Linked DNA regions of Ovis aries. The protein of the gene in region 1 purifies or fractionates together with the protein of each later gene. This does not show direct contact. Links are inferred from orthologs where the notes say so. Each region holds a gene or a part of one and is shown in the gene's direction. Other genes may lie near its edges. The genes, in order: POP4 and RPP25.

The links.
Region 2: the proteins of POP4 (region 1) and RPP25 purify together in Homo sapiens (affinity purification with mass spectrometry; 3 studies listed by BioGRID and IntAct, counting the BioPlex papers as one, with this or other methods). This does not show direct contact. The link is inferred for Ovis aries from reciprocal best matches to the Homo sapiens genes POP4 and RPP25.

The regions. Positions count from the first base shown.
Region 1 is NC_056067.1:39,744,143-39,747,950, forward strand, and holds part of POP4 (ribonuclease P protein subunit p29), read left to right. Parts: intron 1-1,200; coding exon 1,201-1,302; intron 1,303-2,248; coding exon 2,249-2,385; 3' UTR 2,386-3,808. UniProt on the Homo sapiens protein: Component of ribonuclease P, a ribonucleoprotein complex that generates mature tRNA molecules by cleaving their 5'-ends.
Region 2 is NC_056071.1:31,412,829-31,416,297, forward strand, and holds RPP25 (ribonuclease P protein subunit p25), read left to right. Parts: upstream 1-1,325; 5' UTR 1,326-1,482; coding exon 1,483-2,115; 3' UTR 2,116-2,764; downstream 2,765-3,469. UniProt on the Homo sapiens protein: Component of ribonuclease P, a ribonucleoprotein complex that generates mature tRNA molecules by cleaving their 5'-ends. Also a component of the MRP ribonuclease complex, which cleaves pre-rRNA sequences.

The DNA.
Region 1 (3,808 bases):
GCTGAGGGCCACAGTTCGTAGCGCACTAGTCGCCCTGGCTGTGCAGGCCGGAGACCTCGGAGGCACCCACATTTCTTTCCTCATCCCCACCTCCAAGACATGAGCACACCCTAACATCCGAATCTAAGCCACCGCTCCTCCCCTGGATTATTGCAGAGCCGCCTAACCCTCTTCCTACCAACACACTGCTCCTCCCCTGACCAGGCAGCCAGAGGGAGGATTTTTTTAACTGAAAAAGTCCTGTCCTTTCTGCCTCTTTACTGTGGTCCAAACAGCCTGTGCAGTCTCCTTGGGCAGCAAGTCTAACCACACTGACCAGCTTTCTGCTCACCAGGCCTGGCCCTGCCTCAGGGTCTTAGCATTTGCTTCTTCCCTCTGGCCAGGAGTTCTTTGTGCTCACAGGATTCTTTCTCGTTATTTGGGTCTCTGTTCAGATGTCACTTCCCAGGGGTCTACCATTACTAAAGATGACCTCTCTCCCCCATTACCCTGCCCTTGTTTTTTTTCATAGCACTCATCACTATCAGAAAATAAAGCTATCTGTATTTGTTACCCCTCCCCCATTAGAACAACAGCTTCTTGAGAGCAGGACCCAGGACTGCCCTTTTCACTGCTGTGCCCAGCACCTGCCTAGGACAGTGCCAGACACACAGCAGGTGTTCCGTGACCATGTACTGGCTACATGGGAGATGGGTTGGAGGAGGTGAGGGGCCTGTTGCCGTGGTGGCAGCTCACTGCTGGGTGACCTGGAGTGGCCGCCCATTCTGGCCAGAGCGTAGGAGGTTACAGGAAGACCATGGTGAACAGGTGTTCACTTAGGTCCTATAAGTGAGACCTGGCCTTGCCAGAGCAACCCAACTGTGGGTCTTGGTGGTATTGGATACATGTGCGACCTCTTGGCTCCAAAATCCTGCCTAGGACCCCTGTGGCAGCAGGCCCTCTGAAGGACACCTTACCAGAGCAGCACAGAGACTATAACGCCCCAGTAAGGGACTGGGAAACCTGGGTTTGTCCATGCCCAGCGGAGTCGCCAACACTTAGGATCGGAGTGCTGCCCCTCACCACGCCCCGCCTGGTGTCCTTTCTTCCTCTGCTGGCTCAAGGTTGGGAACAGAGCCCTCATCCCCGACAGGTCTGGCTGCCTGTGGCTCCGCTAACAGCACAGAGGCCTGAGCCCTGCACTGCCCTTTTCCTTTGCAGTTACAAAATCCAAGTGCCCCTCCTATGTGGGTGTTACAGGGATCCTTCTACAAGAGACAAAGCATGTTTTCAAAATCATCACTAAAGAAGACCGCCTGAAAGGTACGTGACTGGATGGCCGTGGCTGTGGCCGCCCCAGCCAACTCATTGGCACTTTCCTCAGGACTCTAAAGGTAGTTTGGCCTTTCGAGTCAGCAGATCCCTGCCTATCGTACATGTCAAGCCTACAAAGACCATCCTGGCACCCTGGGCTCTCCCTGAGACACTCGTCAGCCCAGCCACCATGGCCAGACATGATCAAGGAAAGGGAGGGTGGCTTGGCTGTGCCTCCAGACACCTGGGTCTGTTTCCAGGACTGGGACCCTCCACCTGCCCAAAGGCTGCTGCCTCCCAGAAAATTATAGCCAGAGAGCTAGTAGGGAGGAAGCCAAGGCAGCGCCTGCCCCTGGAGTTCCCAGAGCCCGCGCCCTGGGATCCGGGGAGGCAAGTCCCCCCTCGCCTGTCTGTCGTGCTCACCACTCTGGCAGAGGAGCGCCTGGCCTGCCAGGATTCCCACCCCCTGCCTTGCCCACGAATCCAGAGACTTCAAAACCACAGGGGGGTTGCTCCTTTAATTTTTGACCCGTGGGTGTCTTGCAGCTTGCTTCCATTTCCCTATATATTCCTCCGCTGTCATTTTAAACCTCAGAAAGTGGTGTACAGGTTTCCCCAGAAGCATAACCCCATGAGTCTGTCTGCAGGTTATGTGGTAAGACCTGTTTCTGGCAGTTTTTCTAGGAGCTTTTGATTCTGGAAGTTTGGTTCATAGCCTTTCACCCTGAAAACTAGGTGTTGAGTTATATTTAAAATGTGAGTAAATTGGCTGCCTGGTGGAATCATCACCTTCATCCTGGTATTGTTAACTTTGTGGGTTCCTGCATTTCCTAATGTTTTCCCTAGTCGCTTTGTTTATTGTCTAATACAAACATCTTGGGAATAATAGTTTCTGTAAAAGTGAACTTACTGCCAGGATTTTTTTCCTTATCCTTTTTCTCTCACTTTTTTTCAGTTATCCCCAAGCTAAACTGTGTGTTCACTGTGGAGATCGATGGCTTTATTTCCTACATTTATGGTAGCAAATTCCAGCTGCGGTCAAGTGAGCGGTCTGCAAAAAAGTTCAAAGCCAAGGGAACAATTGACCTGTGAGCTGTTGCTGCCTAAGGGGATTATTTATGCCAGCCAAAGACTGGAAACATCCACCTTTCAGGGAAGAGCTGGTCAGGCCAGTTCTGGTCATAGACCACTTCCAGCCAGTTTAAATCAGCGTAAGGACATTGAGTCATCTGGGAAGAAGCACTGTACTGAGCACAGAATTCAGGGACCAGAGGGATGTGTCTTTATAGATGCTCTTGCTTTTATATTACTCCCATGGAGAGAAAAGATTGGCAGAAAGCACCAGGATTAACACAAGTTGACCTAAATAGTTTATTTGGTTTTTCTTTTCATACTTTTCTGTGTTTTCAGAATGTTGTTTGATAAATCAGTAGTTTGTGTGATAATAAAATATGCATGTGGGCGTGAACAGGCCACAGGAGTGATTCCTGCAGCACAGCCAGGATGGAAGGGAAGAGAGGCCTGAGGCTGCCCCTGGCCTGTGCCTTTTGCTCTCGGTGCCATGAGGCTCCGAGTGCAGTAGTTCAGAGGTGCCCTGCATCTTCGACGCGTTACTTTAAATCATGCCTTCTGTCAAGCTCTGACCTAACCACGGTTTACTTTGCTGTTTCTAGAAAGCAGAAGAAAGTTCCAGTACAGGGAGCTTAAGCCTATGGAGTGTTCTCAATTCCTGAGTCTGTTAGGCTCCAGAGGAAGGGGGACTGAGGGGAAAATAAGACTACAGCCTTTGCCAAGGTCTAACCTGCAAGGAAGCCTGAGTCCCCAACGGTGCCGCCTTCGGTGACTCTTAGTTCCATTTTTGCTGCCAAAAAGCATGGCTCTCCAGTCTGACCCCAGGCCTGCGGGCAGTGTGCCCGTGGGCCAGTAGCTGGGGCCCTTCTACGCAGGCCTGAGTACAAACCAGCCGAATGAGAACAGGGTGGGGACCAGCCTTCCAGGTCTGCTATTAAAAAAGCCATGTGGCTTAGAAGACCCTGTCACCCCTTTCCTTTGAGCAGCAGGTGTTTGCCGGTCAACAAGGTGAAGGCAGAAGCTTCCTGATGACAAACTGGGGGCACATCCACATGCCTTTTGCTTCCACGCCAAGAGAAGCAGCAGTGCCAGAGCTTTGCTTTCTCAGCACTTCCTGCTCAGTATCCTCACGGGACGAGAAACACGATAAGAGGAGCGTAAACGCTGGTTTCACGTTAACTGGACAGCGAGAAGGCCTAGCTGTGCCTCCTGAAGGCTGAGCCCACCGAGAGTCTCCCACGGTCATTCATGCCTGGCAGCTCGACCCCGCTTCCGTCTGCACGTGCTGTCCCTCACTTACCCGGAGGGTCTGAGTCTCCTGGGGTGTTCTCCACAGTCTAGCCACTGCTGCCTGTGGTTTGGAGCACAGTTCCCAGCACCACCTCAGACGGGGCATCCTGACCCAGTGACAGCTATTGGTTGTGGCCACAAAGACACTCAGAGC
Region 2 (3,469 bases), on another chromosome or scaffold:
CAAGACTCGGCACCAGCTCTCCCAGGCACTGGGATGACCCCAGCACTTCAAGGGCTTCCTGTCCGCCGCAGCTATCAGGGCTCCACCCCGCCACGCCCCATCGTAGTCACCCCTACCCGGATCAGGTCTGGCCCACCTTCAGTTCTGTGTGTCCCGCGAGGGGTGGAAGGATGAAGGACGAGGCCCTGGGGCAGTTCTAGGAAGAATACAGCTGTATTCTTCACAAACCCGCTCTCTCTCATCAGCAGTCCTTTAAAGCCCAATCTCATCTCTCCCTTCACTGTCCATCTCTCCTGGAAAGAGATCCCGGGCCACTCCCTCGGTCTTGCGGAGTTCCAGGGGAGGGGCACCCGGTAACTGTCCCTGAGATTTCCGTTTCCCAGCTACCTCCCTTCTCCCTCAAAACCTGCTTTTACCCAGCCTCTTTTCTGAAAAGGACCCCACTGGGTCCCAGGGGGCCCGGTTGACTAACAACAAATTCCACCTGAGAAGAAAGGGGATCCACGTGAGCAGAGGACAATATCTGGCTTACTCTAGGGCATGCAGTTCTAATACTCGACTTTCAGGCATGGATGGAGGGAGCTTAACTCCTCTTGAGAAGGGAGTCTCATTGTTCTCGTCCCATTCATCCCAGGGCACAGCCTGGCCCAGAGCCTCGGTTCGCAGAGCAGGGGTGTCTGGGAGCCTTCAGCTCCGGTCAGGCGCGGCAAGCCTGAGACCTCAGTTCTCCGGTTGTCCTGCGAGGACCATGCCGAGACATAGTCGTCGAGGGCAGACGCGGAGCGGAGACGGCGCCTACTACACTCTGCTGACAGCGTGCAGGCTGTCCTTCAGGCGAGAAGAGAGGCTCGGGAGCGAAGGGATGGGGTGGGGGTGGGGGTGTCGTTCCTCTAGGAGTGGGAGAAAGAGGTCCCAGTCCCCAGAAGGCCGCTTTGAAATCTCTCATTGGGAGCGGGCAAGGGGTGGGTGGCCTTCAGCTGAACCGCGGAAGGGCTCGGGGACCCGGCTTGAAGCTGAGTTTGCCCAGCAAATGCAGTTTTTATTTAGGTTGCAGGTTTATGAAGGTAGGCTCAGGGAGGGCTGATGGTGATTATAGGGAAACTTCAGCTGGCAGGTCACTCCTGGCACTGCCATGGCATCCCGCGATGCGCGCACCTCCCAAACCCGGATATCAGAGGACCAGAGTGGATGCGGGCGAATTGCTGGTGAGGCTGGGCGCGAGCTGGCAGGGCTGGGTAAGGGGCGGGGCCCGGCGGCAGGGGCGGGGCTCCCAGGCTCTGAGGCGGGGCCTCAGCTAAAGGCGCGTAGCACAGGGCGCCGAGATCGCCGAGTAGAGCAGCGCCCAGTGGAGAGAAGTGGAAGGCTAGGATCGCACCGTCCCAATCGGCCAGCCAGCGTCCACGCCGCTCCCGCACCCTTAACCCTGCCGGCCCTTGCGGGACGCGACCCACCGACATGCATTCCCGGGGCTGAGGCGGCCCGATGGCGAAGCCCGCGTCCCCGCAACGACGGCGCATGGAGAACTTCCGTAAGGTGCGCTCCGAGGAGGCGCCGGTGGGGAGCGGGGAAAAGGAGGGCGGCCCAGGCTCAGGCCCCTTCGCCGACCTGGCGCCGGGCGCCGTGCATATGCGGGTCAAGGAGGGCAGCAAGATCCGGAACCTGCTGGCCTTCGCCACTGCCAGCATGGCGCAGCCAGCCACGCGCGCCATCGTCTTCAGCGGCTGCGGTCGAGCCACCACCAAAACCGTCACGTGTGCCGAGATCCTTAAGCGCCGCCTGGCGGGTCTGCATCAGGTCACGCGGCTGCGCTACCAGAGCGTGCGCGAGCTGTGGCAGAGCCTCCCTCCGGAGCCCACACCGGGGCAGAAGCCTGGCGAGCCAGCCGCCAGTCTCAGTGTACTTAAGAACGTGCCCAGCCTCGCCATCCTACTTTCCAAGGATGCCCTGGATCCGCGCCAACCCGGGTACCAGCCGCCGAACCCCCATCCCGGCCCCTCGTCCCAGCCAACTGCTCCGACGTCCAAGAGGAGTCTAGGGGAACCTACTGCTGGAGAGAGCTCCGCGAAGAGGTCACAACCCGAGCCAGGTGCTGCTGAAGAGGACCAGACCGCCTGAGAACTCCGGCCTCTGGGCCACCTGGACGGGCTGAATCCTACGCTCGAGCTTCGACCTTGAGATGCATCTCTAGCCTTTCACGCCTTGGTACTCTGGAACCTACAACGTGGAAGCATAGACCCCAAGGCGACAAGGGGGGACCCCAGGGAAGCTTCGTGGTGGGGTTGCTCCTCCAGCTGTGTTGCCTGACGACACTTTCAGCTTTTCTGAACCATACGGGGACCTTCTTCAGGGAGGGAATGGTGGGCAATGGGATTCTTGAGCCTTTAACCCCAAGGGTTAAAGGTTCATGTAGGATTCTTGAAGTGGGCTACGAAGGTGGAAGCTGAGGAGAGCTCTTGAAACCACCCCACCATTGTCAGCAGAGGGCAAAGGGTTGGAAACCACTGCTTGAGGGCGGGGGATTTTGAGTGGCAAGGGGTAAGGGGCTATTCTGCTCCTCACCCCAGGACAGTTTCTAGTTTTCCTTTCCCTGCTTTTAAGGAGCATCCTGAGATCATGGTGGCAGGGGCGTCTCCATAGGCTCTTTTAACATCCCACTTTCCCCATGCTGGCCCAGAGGGAGAGACCCAGGACAGAACTCTCCATGCCGCCTCCCCTGAGCCCCACAGCTGGAGTCTTGCTTCCAATAAAACAAACACAAAAAAGGCTCTGTCCCTGGGTTTTTTCCTAACCACTAGCCTGTGTAGAGACTGCTCTGGTCTGCCCCCTTGTGTCTCAGTCCCCTCCAGCCTGGAATCCTTAGCTTTTGGAGTCTTATGGGTCAGGCACAGAAACTGGACAGCTTTGAAATGGTGCTGGGAGCACCTTACCCAGTGCCTGGTTCCTCCCTCTTTCTCAGCCCTCCCTGGCTAGCTCCAGTAGCTTCAGGGCTTGTGGACAGAAGGGGACCTTGGTCACCTTATGTGCTACCACTAAGGGAAAGGGAGCAGCATACTGCTTTTCTGGAAGGGGGAGGAAGGGAAGCATCAATGAACTATCCTGGGGGTCACTGCCAAGGGTGGCAGATCCAACTGGGCTCCCTAAGCCTGCAGCCTCCTGCCAATAAACAGCCCTACCAGACGGCTGGCCCAGAGCCCCCCAGCCCCATGGATAGAATCTACCCTTCACTGCTCGCTCGCTCTCTCTGAGAAAGGACAGCACACCCTTGGGAGAGGGGGAGGAGAGACTGAGCACAAATCCACTGCTGGAAATTACTATTCAGCAGAGAAGCTGGGACTTGGGCTGTGAATCACTGCAGGCTCCCTGATAAGCTGCTGCCTCTGGCCCTGCACAGCTGTCTGTTGAGAGATAACAGCCTTATAAGCCTTTCTGCCCAACTCCAAGTCAGGTGGGAGGGTGGAAGGAGTGCTGT